Linked DNA regions of Drosophila melanogaster. The protein of the gene in region 3 interacts with the protein of the main gene of each other region in a pairwise test. Each region holds a gene or a part of one and is shown on either strand. Other genes may lie near its edges.

Region 1 (6,790 bases), on a different chromosome or scaffold from region 3:
CCTACATAGGATCGGCCAAGAACTCCTTCGATGAGGCGGACGACTCAACTTTAAGCACATTCGAAATACCCGAACTACCACCTTCGCCAGTCAATATGTCCTTTGATAGCTCCGAAATGAGCTACTTCTCCGACCGTCAGCAGAGGATGAAAAGTGAAGATCAGGACAGTGTGGCGGGCATGGCAGAGCTGCATAGTCAGAGTGTAACGCCCACTCCGGACGAGGAGCAGCAACACCTGCTTCTGCCACTACCATTGCCGCAGGCCATCGAATCGGACAGCGAGGTGGAAGGATTCAATTTGGCCACTGGCATTACGACGGAGCTGGCGCCCAGGATGTCCAACGCCCACACGCCGGAGGTGAGCTACACATCGGCCAATAACACCGCTCCGGCTTCAACTAACCCCAACGAATCGAAACCGCCGCCTTCTTGGCGACGCAGCAAATACTACGAGAACATAACGAAACAGACGATCAAGGGATTTCTCTGAGAGATCTGGACAAGCTGTCCCAGTTGAAAGATGAACACAAAACGATTTCCCGCCCAATTAACCAGCGCCATTTGCTTCTCTGCCGATCCTCGACATTCTTGCCATTAATTAGTTGGCATACTATTTTTGCTGTTTTCCCAAAACCAATTTTAGCCCATGAGCTAAAAGTTTTTGTCTTTTTTATTTTGTTTGCCATTTTACTTTGCATGATTGTTCACTGTTTTCTACCAAAATTTATTAGTTCGATTGAACTTTAGCTTAAAAGATATACTAAAATGCCTGCGCAAAAGGTTTTTAAATATTTTATGTTTGAAAAATGTCTTTTGCTTATACTTTCTCTGCTTTAAATATAGTAGTAGAAATATTTATTTAGTTAGTTCAAATTAAGTCTAAGGCTTGCAAAAATTAGAGAATTCCCAAATGGTTAGAAAATATATTTAAAGTAAGAATTTAAATTCACTTACGGCCAGTCGAAATTTTTGCCATTAATCATATGTTTAATATTTATTTATAACTATTTCTCCCACACAGTCACAGTCACAAAACATAGTGCAATTAATATCGAACATGTTTTACCCCAAAAATAAAGCTAATCATTTATAATTTTTTTCAATACCTCCTAACTTTTCAGGTATTTAGTTTTAAATTTTATGCTTAAGCAAGTAAGTAACTCGTAACTGCAAAATTTGAATGTAATCTCGAAAATCCATGAAAACATTGCATAACTTTGGGCTGCATCCGTGAAAAGTCATTGCCATCATCTGCACTTAACCCTTGAGTGCTCTTTTGGACTTTTCCACCCTAAATAATTTTTTTCAATTTCCCTCTGTGGGTGGCCCTTTCCCCCAAACATTTAACAAGTGGTCCTCAAGTGATTTCAATTATCTGAAATGTGAACTGGCAGTGGGTGCAGCGGGGAAATGGGGTTAAGAGGGGTTGGCTGCTTTTGTGAGCTTCGTCAAGTGGCTCATTAATCTCAATTAAAAAACATATAAATAAATCGCTCTGAGTGTGGTGAGTGAGTGAAAAGAGTTTATACTTAACGAGCTGATCATCCAGAAAGGCGAACCAAATATCTATGAGATTCTTTTCATGCCATTCGACCAGATTTTCTGACGTGCCGGCGCTGAAAGCATAATTCGATAAGTTCGAATCGTTGATAGCGAAAAATAATAACACACATCTGCAGCGCATTGATTGCCGCAACTGCTGTTGCACGCAAGAAGCGTCGGATGTTGCACGTTGAATATTGCACGAAATCCGGAGCCAAAGCCAAAGCTGCAAGACACGCATTTTGGGTGAAAAATACTTCATAAATTGGGGTATAGAGCATCATGGGTGGTGAGGGGATTTAAATGCGGGCGGTCAGTCAGTTTGCCTTGCATTAAGACACGATATCGTCTGGTTTCCTCCGCTGCTCTGGTGTTGTTATTTTGATCTTCCACTCTTCACCATGTTATTAAAGTACAAAAGCTGCACTTGAATATGTTGTGGTTTAAGGTACCTCGTCTTATATGGGGTGTATAAGACCAACGAGGAAAAGGTCTAGCCAAGGGGAAAAATCATCCACACATAAGATGTTAAGTTAGATGAATATTCAAAAGTAAATGCGAATAAATAAAGTGAGGGCATAAGAGGGTAGCAACAGTTCGCTTAAAGTTACCCTTTATCATCAGAATTACAGGGTACAAGCTCGCTTCATATCGCTTTACCTTCTCTTCGTATTGTAATTGCTGAAAAGCCGGGCGCAGGGCATTAAAAATTGAAATCATGAATTAACGACGCCGCGAATGCCAAGAGCACTTGTTTATTTATGTCGTCTCCCCTGAAGCCCCGCATCTTGCCTCTTTCTCTAGCGTCTAGCGTCTCCAGCCCTCTCTTTCACACTCTCTCATTTTCAAAATACAAGCCGGCTTTTCAAAACTGAGCTTAGCCAGTGTCAAGAGATCAAAACAAGAGAACCGCTACCTGCATGAATGAATTGAGCGAATCGGTTAAGTTTCATGGGCTGCACGCTCTTTATCTCTTTCTGATCGGCTGTCTCCCGTAGAATCTGCTCAGTCTTCGGTCTCCGGTCTTCAGTCTTCCGATCATTTAGTCAGTCTTGTTCGAAGTTCGCGGCGTTCGGTTGTTCGGCTGTTGGGAAAGCGGCGCGCGCGTTTTGATTTTCCACATCTCCACCGCTCGAATATAATGTGCGAATAAAAACATATCTATGTAAATTAAGTTAGGCAGAAAACGAGGAAGAAAACAATAAATTTGGCACTTCAAAAAAAAAGCGAAATGAAACGTAAATTAATCAGCCATAATTTACCTAGAACATTTTTGACATTCAAAAATGCTTGGCGCTAGTTTTTTTTGCGTTCACTCGTCTAAAGATGAAATCAACAATCTGTGCTAAATTTATTGTTGTTGTCGAATATTCAGTTTTGTGACGACCCTCAGAAAGCACAAACAAAATGTTTAACAAATAGAAAACGACACAGAATGCGCGAAAAAAATATTTTTCAAAAATATTCGGTGACCTGATGCATTGAAAGCTTATTTGTTTGAGTCATGTGCATATTTCAATATACTACAACAGTCCACGCCCCAGAAAATTTCAATCAACAATTTTCCATTTTTTTTTCTTTTAAATTTTTTGGACAACAACATATGGAGGCAAAGCATTTCCTCGATTGCGCTACTGTAAACTTTTATAAAGGGAACTTGTTCTTCCCAATTTTTGGTTTGCTGCTTATTTTTAGACAGCGCAAAGTACAATTAAAATAGTTTACATTACGCCAGCAACGGCGGCGACTATTAAAAATTGAGAGAAACACCAAAAATTACCTAATGGAGGCAGCTGGCTGCACACGAGCATACGCGGCGTATGCGTAATGTATTCAAAAATATCGAAAAATCCATGAAAAATGACTGACTGGCGACGACTTCTGCCAATGCAATTGGCACATGTTACAGATTTGACGAACATCCGCGCGCTTTATCTATTAGCTATAGTAGCCTGTATCTGTAGCATCGCAGTATCTGAGTATCTGGGCTAGAACAACAGTTTAGCTTCGTGGCAGAAATCGCCGCAAAAAATTACTCAATAGTTTGTTGTTTTAAAAATAAACGCGAATCGAGCATTGTCTTTGAGTTTTGGCGGGGCGGGGGGCTACCGAGGTTCTACAACGAGACTAGCACACGCATCAAAGGCAATTTTCTCAGGCTCAATATGCAAAAAGTACACACGATTCTCTCGGCTATATAGCCGTATATATAGACACTACGGAATAATAAACAGACACTAGAGCGACAGGGAGAGCGCGAGTATGAAGTCATAGTCATCGCGGCGGGCAAAAAGAATTCTCCGTTTCGAAAATCTACCGATTCGCGGAGGTTCTCAGACGATCGCCGGCGTTGATAGCGCTCGCAACGAAACGAAGGAACCGCCGAATCGAATCCCCTGGCTATAACTAATCCCAATAAATTAAATCCGAACGCGAGTGACTCAATCTAATAGTTCCACTTTTTCGAGCAGAGTTCAAAATGCAAAACACGAGACACAAGCAGGGGAAGTAAGCCAAAATACGAGAAAAACTAAACGACAGAGATTATAAAACGCCCACGCAAAACACACCAAACTACAAGCACTCACTCAATCCTCGAAAGTTAGTCAAAAAAAAAGAAAACAGAGAGAAGTAGAGACGAGCAGATAGAAAGAAAAGCAACCATGGAACGCCGCCAAGCCCTAGACTCATCGATGTCTTCGCTCTACTCGGTCGCCTCCTCCTCGAATCCCAATCCCCGCCAGCCGCACACCGGCCACCAACTTCAGACGCAGCAATCCCAGCAATCTCAGCAGTCCCAGCTAGACGCCTTCAATTATTCAGCAACAATGTCATCATCGTCGCCGACTCCAAGTCAGGCCATGTCCACAGCCATGTCCACGGGCACGGGCACCGGCACCGGCACCACCCACACCACACCACCATCCTCCTCCTCCCTGAGAGCCACCACCATTGGCACCGTTGTCGTCCGATGCGGACCCATCCAGCTGGTGATAGCGCTCCTACAAGTGAGTTGTACTCTTGTACCCCGCAAACAATAAAAATAGTAAACTAAAAAACGAAACGAATCCAAACAAAAAACACACAGCAAAAAGGCCAAGAAATGGGAAACAAACATGAAGAAACATTTATCTAGATACGGGAGAAGTGTTCGGAGAAAGCTCTTGAAGTGCGCGGAAATTTATGCGGAAGGCGATCTGGGAGGACTTCAAAAGAGATTTGGGACGGGGCATTGGGAGATCTTGAATAAATCATAAATCTAGAAGTGCAGTCAGGTTTCGAAAACACGGGGAAACATCTAGGATAAGCTGTGGTCATTGAAACATCTTATGAAAAAAGTTGCATTCGACTCAGTTTTATGTGAAGCTATAAAAATCCATAACAACCAATTAAGCCAGTCTAAATATATTAACCTTTTTTTTCAATATAAATGAGCTTATCATTTGAATGACGACATAATCTTTGTTCATTATTAATGACAGTGCAATTATATATTTACATTTTTTTCATTTTGCGTAGTGGGGCAAAAACAGTCTGAGAGATGTAAAGCAAAGAAAATAGTTCAATAGATACATTATCTCAGATTGTTATCAAATCATTTTTCAATCAATTTATCACTATAAAACAACGTTCGACTATTATTAAATGGCCCAGCCTCCAACCAAGCAAATGTTCACTACCAATCGGTCGACATTAATTGATAAATTTCTATAATTATCCCATAGCTAGCCCCTTCGGATCTGAGGCAAAACTATGTGACTTTAGCACTGAAAAATTCATGAACTTCTAATGCCCAAAACTGGCTTACAATTTTCGATTGTTTAAACCGGCTTCCAGCGATTTCCGCGCCAATTAGCACTCGAACAACGAAAGCAAAAGTTGTTGATAGCGGTTATAAATATTTGAAAAACGGCAGCAGAAAAACAAACGCCACAAAAGGTTCAAGGTTGTCTGACATCAGAGCAAAGACACAAAAGCCAACTAAACGTGACAAAAAGAAATGTATCTGCCAGATACTTTCGACAATTAGGCGCAGCTGCTACCTGTCTGGGTCCATTTCGAGCTGGCAGAATCAGTTTCTTCAGAGAGAAACTTTGTTTGGGTCTTCTCCGCAGATTTGCCCCCTTTTCCAACCCCTCCAAATCGCTCGAACTTGAAGATGCGACTTGAACTTGAGATTGAGAAACATTTCTGATGAAGCGCTACAAGTTTTATGCCCCGAAACAAAAAACATTCAATAATTATGGGCATCGGTGAATGGTTTATGGGCTTTTGCGGCAAGGGGCAAGGGGACTGTGCCCCTTTTTGCACCACCTTTTCTGTTCATTCAACCAACGGATCATTGAAATTTCGGTGTGCCACTTTGTGCCATTTTTTTTTTTTTTTTGCTGGCCATCAGAATAACTATTTTTGCTTCATATGCCATTCGAGACTCACGGCTCCATGTGTTAAACATTTGATTTGATTTACAACTTTTTCCCCCCTCCACTTTTGATTCTGAAAATTATGCAAAAACATTTTACTGACGAGCCTTTCAACACGTTTCTGTTGTATACGTGTACTCGTGTTTCCATGAATTGAAAACTCGCGACCCCAAAAATATACAGATTTCTTTAAATTTCCGCTGGCCTGCTTGGAAACAGTATTGAAATTCAAAAACGAAACTAAATAATTGCTTACCTGTCGTTGTTTTCGTTATTCTCGAACTGGTCCCAAAAATGCTGTTGAAAATAAACAAGAGCGATTTCTCTCCCCGGTTCTCGCAGGTAAACAAATTAGCAACGGAACAGAGCCAAAAAAAAAGCTGAAATAAGAATAACAAAAGTGTACAAATAAATACACAATATTCCACAATAAAAGCCAACAGATGTGCAACAAACACACACAAAATGAAACAAATGTATGAGCTAAAAAATGTTCGATGAGCTCAGCTCCTTATTATTATTGTTATAAATTCCACGTGGGCGGTGGGAGATTTTTTTCTAGGGGAAGAAAGGCGGCGGAAGTTCTTTAAACTTTGTGCTTCAGCATAAGATTAAGGAAACAATAAGTTGGCAGAACCCCCTTCGTCCCGCGGCTCGTAGCTTAAAACTATGCAAATATGTCAAAAGTTTCCTTCCTTTCTGGGTTTATTTTTCGAAACAGACAACAGACAATTCTTTCAGTTAGTTTATTCTAAACAGAAAGAAATTTCAAGTGGCAAGAAATTGTATTTAAGTATTAAATCTTGGCAAGGATAGTTTTGCT
Region 2 (5,324 bases), 5.6 Mb from region 3:
ACAATAAAATACGACTGGCACGGCTTCATTGGTTTTGCGGTTAAAATGTTGCAACAAGAACTGGCAATGCCACAAAACTTTGAAGACTAAAAAACGCAGTAAAAAATATGAGTCGAAGCTTAAATACACTTGGTAGTTATAAAAAACTATTGAAGCTACGTTGATGTGAAAAAAGTTCTTATACAAAGGTTTTTCTTTATTTGAAAGAAACTTTCATTTTAAAATTTGGTTAGCTGAACTATGAAATCTGTTGCTTCAATTTCACAAGGTTCGCCTGGCAGAACCTATAATAAACCCATAATCATTGTTCTGCCCACTTTTGCCTAGACTAATAATACCCCTTTTATATCGCCATCAAAACCACGAAACAACGGCGAAAAACTGGCGAATCTATAAAAATGCAAATTAGAAGAAGCGAAAAAATAACACAACAAACGACTCCAGAAACTGGAACGAACTAAGACGGCAATTTCAGACTATGACTGCAACTCCAACTCAAACTCCGATTTGGATTCAGATCGAGGGGCCGTCGATAAACGTTACTCGTGCTATTGCCTCTGGGCCACAAAAGCGTTGGCGTCCAGTCTCTGTGATCCATGGACTGGCCAGCCCAGTTGGCCAAGAAGCGATTTGGGTTAACTGCAGCTGCAACACGCCGACGATCGGGAAACTCGGGCCAACTAATTGTGCGGAAATCTGCGAGACGCGTCATAAATACTGTCGCTTTTCTCATCTCTCTTTCAGCAGAGCGGTCTTTGATGGGAAGTTGCAGCTCCGCGATGTTCAGTGGTTGCATTTGCACCTGCACATTAAACAATAAGAAGAGATGCACCGAAAAAAAAATGCTAGTGTTAGTTAAAAAGTTAGTTAGGTTCAGTGCTAAAATAGTGGAATGTAGCTCAGAACCAAGTTAAATAGTTTACAATAGTTTATCAATATCCCAATGCACATGTTAATATCTAAAAAATTGCATTAATATATAATAAAATATTATAAAAAAAATATAATAAAATTCAGCGATATGCAGCCAATTAATATTTGCTAGCAATCACTTGACGATCGATCTTTCACCAAATTGCATGCAACATGGTTGGTAGAAAGGATACACTGAATATTCATGTAAAACCGACCATGTTGATAGAAATTACATATGCATGGGAAAATATGAAAAGTGATGTAACTCGGATTGGCTCCACATCTAGTTGGATCCCTTTCCATTTTTTTTTTTTTTTTTTTTTTTTTTGCCGTGCACTTAGCCGGAGGCATTCTTGCGTGCAAACCTTGACCATGAAAAACACGCTCCGCGATGCGATGCGATGCGATGACGTGCCCATAAAAGTGCTGGCCAACAATCCCAAACATTTTCCTGGCCAATTAAGAGCCAAAGAAAATTAGTAAGAAATTGAAATTGCTCAACGGCCACGTTTGCGATCACGTTTAGGCCGCTTGGTGGCGATGGTCAATGGCATTCGGCCGGCAACTTGTGCGACAGTTACATCTATATATGCGCCACAAACAACTGGTTTGCGGGCCAAAATAAAAAACAAAACAAAAAAAAAGACTACATAATAATATACAAAGCAAAAACACCGTTTTGGACCGGCCTCCAAGGGGCACGCTAGCCAAATGGAGCCATTGCCGGTCTGTCAATTAGCAACCAGGCGACATGGCGGTGCACTGAACTTGTTACGCTTAAATTGTTGATAAGCCCACAACACTCATTATGATTGCCACTGGCCAGCGAAAATGTGGCAATCGCACCGTTTTGGCCATTAACCCATTTTTCGGTCCGGTTCTAAAGTTATTCCGTATGACTTAATTCAGGTTTTAGTTTCTACATGCTATAGGTATTATACCTTATATTAGTTGCGTAGTCATGCCTTTAATAGAATTATCTGGCAATAATCAATTATTAATTAATAGCTAAATTTACTCGCTGAGCATTTTAATTCAATTAGTTCAATTGCTGGCATTATTTAATTAGTACCACCATTTGATAACTCGCTGCACTTGACTTTGCATGCTATTAAGTTATTTTATTTACGCTGCAAACGATAAGTAAATTTATTAAGTAATTTTCAGTTCTGCTGTTTAACTTGTTTTAACCAGCATTCATTTATTTTAGGTATTTGTTTCGCTTGAAGAGAAATAATACCTATTTGCATTCGCTCTGGACAAAGCTCTTAAATCTTAAAAACATACTATTAACATATAAATATGTACATACATATATGCAAACATTTTAATAAACATTATTAGCTCCTGCCTTATCTGAAGTCCAAGAGTTCAATGGGTTAAGCCGCAGCCGTATGCCAGTTCTCTCTGATTAGAGACCAGAGATTAGAGATATATGGCCAGTTGATGCTACGATATTTGCGCAGAGCAATTGTTCGTTCGATGGCGGGAGAAATGGGAGAGAAAGAACAAATATATAATATATATATATATATACATACACGTATATATATATATATATAGGAGGCGAGCGTGTATTTGTGTGAATGTCACAGATGTGCGTGATTGTTTCCATGGAGCGGCGCAAGTGAAATGGGCAAGTTGAAAAGAGCAGTTGTGTTTGGTTTGTGAGGCTGCCAAGAGCGAAAAACGAACGCGGACAATGAATAAAATATTTGGGCTACTGTTTACCCTGTGTCTGCTGCTCGTTTGGCCCACGCCCGGAAATGGCCAGTCCCCGGATGAGTCCCGGCTCCTGGTGGCCATTCACTACGAGGCCCTGTGCCCGGACAGCATGAGCTTCATCCGGCGCAGATTGTACGATGCTCTGCAGGACAACGACTGGTGGTCGGTCACCGATCTAAAGCTATATCCATTTGGCAAGGCGGGGGTGAGTCAGCTAAGATCAAAATGATAGAATTCTTATGCATACTATAGTCATTTCTTTAGTACTCATTTCGAATTCATTAGCAGTTCATTTCGAAAACCATTTGTATTTACATTAAAAAAAAAACAGCAATAAACTGAAATACACACACACAATTTGTTTGTAGATCGTGAAATAGTTCATGTTTTTTGAGGTTTTAAACCAGAATTTGTTACGTGCAGTTCTACAACAACACATCCACTGGCGAGAGCCAAGTATTTTGTCAGCATGGCGTGGATGAGTGCGAACTAAATGCACTCCATGCCTGCATTATTGAGACCCTGGACATTCGGAAGGCCTTCAATCTGATCTACTGCATGCTGCGCTCCTATTCGAATGAGCTGGGCCCGTGCTCGAGGAGCATGGGTGTGGACGTCAGCAAGGCCAGGGAGTGTAAGGCATCCCGAACCACGGCAGAAATACTGGCGCCCTACGGCAAGGAAACCCTTAAACTGGGCATCTCCTTTGTGCCCACCATTGTGTTCGAGAATGTGAGTAACCAACCCAACCAGGCTTACATGATCAAATACCAGACTTAACTTAACATTACCCTCTGATCCGCAGGACTTTGATCCTTACGACCAGAGAAGCATTCGCAACAACTTCGAAAGACACTTCTGTCGGCAGTATCTGAAAAAGTTCAACATCAAACTGCCCACTTGTTCCGCAATTTTGTAAACTTTTATGTAATGTACTGAGTAATTTAACTGTTTCAATGTTCCAAGACCAATAAACAATAATTATAACCAACTGGAGTGTTTGCTTACTCGCTGACTCACTTGGGGCCAATAAAAATTTACATGTGTATAGTATATACATATCAGCTTATCAGTCATGTTTTTGTATACAGATTCTAATCAGAAACAGCTGTCTGGTGGTCTAAAAATAAGATTAAAACCCCGCTGCTCAGTAAGTTTTCCGTAGTCAGCGCATAAATGTAAAGGGGAAAATGCTGGTTGACAGCAGGGGCGTCGAATTGGTTGGCTAGTCACACCCTTTATCTATATATTTATATTAATTTTTTCAAAAGCGGATATATTACAGAAAAATTATAAAAAACAAGCGAAAAGTCACCCTACTATTGCAATACAAATAATTATTTTTTTTTTAACTTATATGATTTTTGAGCCCCCCTTGAGCATTTTCTAACCACGCCACTGGCCGCTTCGAATTTGACGAAACGCAGTGACAACGCTGCGCATTACAAGTCCCGGAATTATTTCAGTGTCGAGCGTTCGCTGGCGTTGAGCGGCCGAATATTTCAAGATCAGCTCGGGATTAAACTGAATTTGCCATGAGGGCGGCTGTCTTTGTGTGTCTGCTGCTGGGATGGGTGGGCGTGGCCACGCCAAGGGTAAGTGACCCAGTTGATCGGACTGAATCCCGAATTGCGACGCTCCCATTGATCGTGACTTTGCAGCGTTTGCGCGGACCGCAAGCTGACCGACTGGCGATCACCCTGTACTACGAAGCATTGTGTCCCTACTGCATGGAGTTCGTGACCACGCAGCTCAATCCCTCGATGGTCCGTCAGGATCGACTTCCATTCACTGATCTTACGCTGGTTCCTTATGGAAATGCCAGGGTAGGTTTCATTTTTCGTAGCTTAAACTAGTAGTTATAGTACAAGTACATAGTATAGCTCAATTTGAAGTTTTAGAGTGTCAATCAGCGTTAATCCGCACTTAAACTTCGCTTAATCCCCTCCAGACGAACGATGACGGAAATGTGGAGTGCCAGCACGGAGTGATGGAGTGCGAATTGAACGCGTGGCACGCCTGCATACTGGAGCACCATGACATTGCCCAATCCCTCAAGCTGATCGCCTGCATGATGAGGGGTAAGAAGAACAGGCTGGAAAAGTGCGCTGACCACTATCAAATCGACGTGGGCGATGTCAAAAATTGCAAGAAAACGCGACAGGTGAACGACATTCTGAGGAAGTACGGCAAGGAAACGGCCAAGGTCTCATTTCAGGGAGTGCCAGCCGTAGCTCTGGATAACGTGAGTTTAAATGCGAAAGAAATTCATGAAATCTAAAATAAAACTTTGTGATTTTAAGGTTTATAACGCGGATCTATCAGCAAACTTAACTGATCATTTTGATGCCATTTTTTGCGCCAAGTATAAGGAAAAGTTCAATAAGCAGCTAAATAATTGTCAATAAATATTGTGTTCATTTAACAATACATTTTTTTATTAAAAAATATTTTTTGCATTTTCTTTGTAATTAAATCGTAAAATCAGGTTCTGAAAAATGAATAGTTCGAATTTTTAGTTTTCCCGCCCAGCAGTGGCGCCATCTATGACAGCATGCTGCCAGACCTTTGAACATTCGCTACGATTTTAGTATTTTTCTTTGGCGGTGGTATATTTCAACGCGACAACGGTCCCACTCAACTATTTTCGCAACACGCGACGATACGAATTTTCCACATTTCTT
Region 3 (5,877 bases):
CCCGTCCCGGTAATTGTGGCAAGTGGCGCGCCTCTTCTGGCTGCCGTTGCAGCTACTGCTTTCCACTTCACCATGGCAGCAGCAAGCTGCAAACAGCAACTGCAACTGCAACTGCAACTGCAAACTGCTAGCCGCAGCTAACAACGGCTCTACACAGAAGCCAAAACGTGTCGTCCTTTTGAGCCACTTGAAGTGCTGCCCCTTCAGCTGAAGAGTGTGTCTTGATGTTGCTGCCGCTACTGCTGCTGGTGTTGCAGTTGCGCTGCTGCAGCAGTTGTTGTCATCATCGTGGTACGTGTTGCAAAAGCAACAGCAGCCGCAGCGGCAACAACAGCCTCGTTTTTAATTAAACAATGTAAGCAGCAGAAGGCGAAGAAGAAGCTAAAAAAAAAATATATATATATATATAATACAAAAAGCCAGCCAAGTTCAAGTTGGCTTGTGTGTGAGTTATGAGTTGCGCAATCACGACTTCTTGTCTCTGCCCAAAAAACGCAGTCTTCCTCTTTTCGTACTGGCTGATTAAGTTTTAGAACAAATGAATTAAAAAACGTGCACTTACGTTTTTTTTTTTTTCCTGGCAGCGGCAACGGCTACCGATCGTGTTGGCTTGTCAGTACGGAGGTGTGAAGTAATTTGGCCAAAAGGGCTTACCTGATTTAACAGTGGCAGCTGTATTTCAGCCGCCGCCTGATCCTTTTGTGCCGTCCCGGTTTTTATGGCTATAGGAATTTCAGGCAGATGATGCTTGGAAAGTTCTCAACTTTTTCATTTTTATTTACCTGCAAATAATGCAAAGGAGATATGTATGTGAACAGCGTTTTAAGCTCCAACGATCTCTGTGTAAAGATAAAATATTGTAATTCATTTAAATGAACAAATCAGGCAGAGATCGAGGCTAAAAAGAACTGTCCACTTGGGAGTCAGGAAAAGTCAAAAGCCAACAGCCTCCACGGTAGATTGTTGTGATGTGATTACGTCAAAATTATTAAAACAGTCTCGAGTCCCTCATACATATACACATACATACACATACTTCGGTATGTCATGTTTCCCAATTCGTCTGCTGCCTTGATCGACACTGATCTCAGATAAGACAGTCAAACAGAGACCAACCAAAAAAAAAAAAAAAAGTATATTATAGCCGAAAAAAACGAATACCAGAGACAAGTGCATTTGCATCAGAGATATACCCCAACCCGTTTTCCAAATCTCGTGTGAAGCAACGTTTTCCCAAAAGAAGAAAACAGAGTCGCTGAGAATTCATAAACATCAGATTTGAGGTGTAGCCAACAAAGTTGTTGAAAAATATGAACAAATGAAAATATTTTCACCAACCGGGCCAAAATAGAAATGTGCATTATATCTACATTAAGAAGTTGGCTCCCCGCTCAAGATTGTCAGCATTGTCTGTTGCCCAGTTTTATGCTTTGACAGGCCATAGACGCACACAAGGCTGACAACAATGCCATTAGTCCCTGGACAAAAGCCAACCCAATGACAATTGACAACAGAGGGTATCCAAGAATTATCAATGGGAAACGCAGGGCAACTGTACAAGTTTGTCCGGGAAACGGTGTGAACCTTCTTCAACACTCACAAAAATTATTTAATAATTGTACTTAAGTCTATCCTAGCAAAATTTTACTAGATTTTAAAGGAAATCAAACTAAGAATGTACCTCAATTTTTGATATTTTTATATTTTACTTTCCTATATATGATTTTTTCAATTTATTATATGTTAAATATATTATTAACAAAGGTTTGTGATCTTATAACATTTACTTTTAACATATATATTCCTTGGACATACTTTAGTGAAAAGGATTCGCTTTTAATCGCTTCGACAGTTTTCATCAGCTACGTTTCTCCCTTAATATAAAGATAATTCTAACACTGTATCTTTAAAAGAAAATGTATTTCTTCGGATAATAAACTGTGCAGTTTCTTTTTCAGTGTCTTCTGTGATTGTGATTCCTCTAATCGCTCGCTAAGCTGCCAGACAAAAACACATGGCTTTGATTATTAGATCGTTGAAGCTCGCACAGAATCCATTCCATTCTATTCTATTCCATTTGGTGGGACTGTTCTTCGTTTACGATTCCTCTGCGAGAGTTGTTAGCATTTCCTAGAAGCCAAGCCAGGCAAAGCCGAATGCTGACCACGTTTTGTCCAACGCATCCGGCCAAGATTCTGGACTGGAACAGGGCAGTTGCTAGAGAAGTTGGCTGGGAACACGTCTGGGTTCGTGTAATATGCAAACTAGTGAGTCTCTCTAGCGATAACTGTACAGATAGGGTTTTTTTTCTGCAGCAACAACAACAGCGCAGGCTTACAAATTGCAGGCAGTATACGACGGCGCAATTTATGAGGACCGGCGCGATCATGGCGCGATCCTACAGATCAGGTAACTACAGGTAACTACTACTGAAAGCTGGCACAGCTGTTGCCAAAGGATTAGCCTGCAAAAGAGATAAGGACACTGGGTAATCCTTCCCCACTACTACCTGATTCACTCCCTCACTAAATGCACTACCTAAATTTGCATAAAAACTTAGATTCATCAAAACAAGAGCACATTCAACCAACAGCAGCCTTCGAGGAAGCAACACACAGCAGTCATCACATTTGACAGACAATACATACAATGTCGCAAATGCACAATACCGCATTCTACAAGGACGCTCTGGTTGCCCAGCAAAATAATACCTGTTCACCGATGGAGGAAATTGAACCGAACTACATCGACAACCTGCACATTATATTTTTCGAGCAGATTTTCGAAGAGATCGACAATCTGATCGATCAGGTACGCATGGCTAGGGCCTATCCACAGTTCATGCCACAGATTCTCAAGTTCTGGCAGAGGCGACTGCACCTGATCATCGGTCCAAATACACCATTCCTTGGACTCCTGGACATCGATGACTATGTCTTCTTTATGGAACACATGGCTGATAGCTTCACGGATCTGCACGTTCACGACGGCGTTGGTTCCTTTTCTGAATTCTACGACTATATCACACACCTGTGCGATATCAATATCACCAAGTTTCCCAAGGTGGACACTTGCATATTGGCGGGCAATCCCAACACAGTGGTCGATGAGGACATCCGCGACTTGACGGTAATGTTGCCCAATCTCAAGCGCCTAATGACCTGCATGAATCTATCTGGCTTATATATGCGTGGCTTCAAGAAGTTGGAGGAGCTGGTATTCAACTCCTTGTACCATTCGGTGCCATTGGATAGCCGCTGGATTCAGGATATCTGTCTGACAATGACCAATTTGAGAGTCCTTGACATTACCGATCAGTTCGACAGTTGTGTGAGACTCACAGACATCAAATTGCCCAATCTGGAAGTGCTAAAAATCAACTTGAGCACCGTAGAATGCATGCTATCGGAGGTGCTGCAGTTGCCCAAGTTACAGAAACTATCCGTGCGATTCGATGATTCGCGGCAATTGAACGCAGATCAGGAGACCATCTTCCAGCAGATTGTGGTGGCCAAAAGCGAAAGGATCACCCGAATTGCCCTGAACAACGAAGTGGTTCAATTGCCAGCTCGGTGGCAGCAAAGTTTGCTCCTCGAACTGCCCAAGCTGAGGAAGGTGATATGCGAGAATTGGTGCCACAATGATTTCTTCCTGGATCGCCAGCACATGCCCTGCCAACAAATGGAGGTGCTCAGCTTCAGTGGCTGGGAGATTGTGCGGGAGACTCAGCTCCTGGAACTGGTCGCCGAGTGCGTCAATCTGGAGCACTTGGCTCTGAACGGCTACCACAGCAACTGGGAGAAACTTACTAAGCTCGTGAATATTCGCAATCAGGAAAGGAATCCCAGACCACTGCAGGTGTTCAGCGACATGATGTGGGGCAACTTCACACCCGAGGAATATTATCACTGGCAGAGCAACAAATATGTTCAGGTCACCTGTGACAGCAGCGAATACGAATATCAGGAGGATGGTTTCGAGTTTGATTTTGAGTGAATAACAGCTCAACAATTTTACCAATTGTATATACTCCTAAACAAATATTTTTTTTCATGAATTTTGTAATTTTTTATATTTTCTATTGTATATAAATAAGACGCACTGGCTAAATCAAAAGCAACGCACATTTTCATTCTCAAACACTCCCCGATTGCAGGCAATTTTCCAAGAGGTCTCTCCTTCAACGGCAAACATTTATTTATTTCGCATTGCAGCGCTTTAGGGTCTGGCAAATGGAAAAATCAACACACTTTATGGCCAGCGAAAAGATTTAACTGTGCTTTGGGCCCCAAGTTGCCGTCATGGCTTCTTGGACTCTCCTCACATGTGGCATGACCTCCACTCACATGGCCAGTTAATTTCGCGAGGCATAAATTATTTGATTTGATTGAGTCGGAAAATGAGTTCGCAAAGTGCCCAAAGCTCTTTGCCGACTGTCCGGCTCAGTTCCCCGATCACCGAAACTCCTGACCATTGGCCAACTGGCCAAAAGAAGTGAAGTTTGGCATGGCATTGGGGATTTGGCTCTCTTACTTCAGGGTTGGCGCAATACAACTGCTTTCAAATAAGCTAGATTATAGATGTTTAACTATAATTTGTGTGTAATTGTTAATATTTTGGTTATTCCATAATGAATATGTAAACTTTGTTTTATGAGGTTTCCGATCGGAAAGGATAATCACAGGGTAGTCTAGCCTTCTGGATTATAACATAATATCCCATAACATATCTACTATAAACGATAACTATCCCATGCGTACTTGCACGTGAAGGAAATTAAGCAATTTTGAAAAAATGTGCGCCTGGCTGAATGATTTACATAACTTTTCTCTTCGAAAAAAAATATGGCTTTTGGGAAAAAGAGCATAGTTTTGCTTTCGTTTTCCAACATTACGTGAGCCGATCGCGTCTGTCGGCCTAAATTATTGGCCGCACTGGCAAGTCAACACAAAGTGGGGTCCGGACTAATTTGTGGCCCCCATCGCCCCATCAAGAGATTAAAATGCAAACGAGGGCAGTCAGTTGGCTCTGGGCGACTCGGCGACGACAGTTTGAAGTGGACAAAATTTAGAAATAATGGACTATTAATTTATGGCCAACGGAGGAGACCAGAGATCGACTGACCAACTGACCGACCAACTGGCGTAGTTGCCATTTCCAAACGTTTTTTTTTTTTTTGGGGGGGATAGACCTTTTTTTTGGCTATCGACTTGTGTTAGCCGCATATCTATTGGTTTTTCATTAATTGACTAATTGCAGGGGCATTTCTTTGACATATGCACCACTTAAGGTCCAAAACTAATGCGACCCAATTAAAAGGCCGCTCCGCTACATCTTCGCACTCCAACCCAACTTAAGCATTTTGCCTAATTTCTCTATCAATTTTATTTAACATGACACTAGGGCACACAATTCGTCATGGTGATGGCAATCAAAGGGTCATCTACAACCTGTCCCAAGTGTAACGAATTTGTAGGTGAAATTGGAACGCGAACACGAGGATTTCTTGACTTTTAAGCCCCAAAATTGGTTCGATGCCACAACTTTGTGGATTTGCAGAGCAAGCTTGTTAATGAAATCGAATCGAATCAAATTAATCGAAATGAGGCAGCCTAGCACCAGCTGATTTTACCATAATTAAATTAAACATAAAAGGTCCAAAAAATCCCCAGAGGCCCTTAAGTGGTGTACTGTGTCGGATAAGTTCGATCGCTCAGACCATAAATACGGCGATAAGACGATGCGGCTTGCTTTTGATATTGTCTTTTACTTTTTGTAAAATTCAGTGGCTGTTGTTGCCATGGTTAAGGTGAAATTAGAGCTTGTAATGATCGGTGATCAATTATGGGATATTACAAAAAATATTAATTAGGTGCG

The links. The genes of interacting proteins can lie anywhere in the genome.
Region 1: the proteins of bard (region 3) and zormin interact in a two-hybrid assay, tested with the Drosophila melanogaster proteins (one large-scale study listed by BioGRID).
Region 2: the proteins of bard (region 3) and GILT3 interact in a two-hybrid assay, tested with the Drosophila melanogaster proteins (one large-scale study listed by BioGRID).

The regions. Positions count from the first base shown.
Region 1 is NT_037436.4:2,147,506-2,154,295, reverse strand, and holds the start of zormin (zormin), read left to right. Parts: upstream 1-2,595; 5' UTR 2,596-2,686; intron 2,687-4,014; 5' UTR 4,015-4,206; coding exon 4,207-4,551; intron 4,552-6,790. Other genes in the region: CG15822 (uncharacterized protein), read left to right, coding at 1-491.
Region 2 is NT_033777.3:23,674,793-23,680,116, forward strand, and holds GILT3 (Gamma-interferon-inducible lysosomal thiol reductase 3), read left to right. Parts: upstream 1-2,565; 5' UTR 2,566-2,617; coding exon 2,618-2,845; intron 2,846-3,063; coding exon 3,064-3,372; intron 3,373-3,445; coding exon 3,446-3,559; 3' UTR 3,560-3,629; downstream 3,630-5,324. Other genes in the region: GILT2 (Gamma-interferon-inducible lysosomal thiol reductase 2), read left to right, coding at 4,176-4,235, 4,302-4,466, 4,592-4,885, 4,944-5,048.
Region 3 is NT_033777.3:18,078,472-18,084,348, forward strand, and holds bard (bard), read left to right. Parts: upstream 1-2,576; 5' UTR 2,577-2,649; coding exon 2,650-3,996; 3' UTR 3,997-4,112; downstream 4,113-5,877.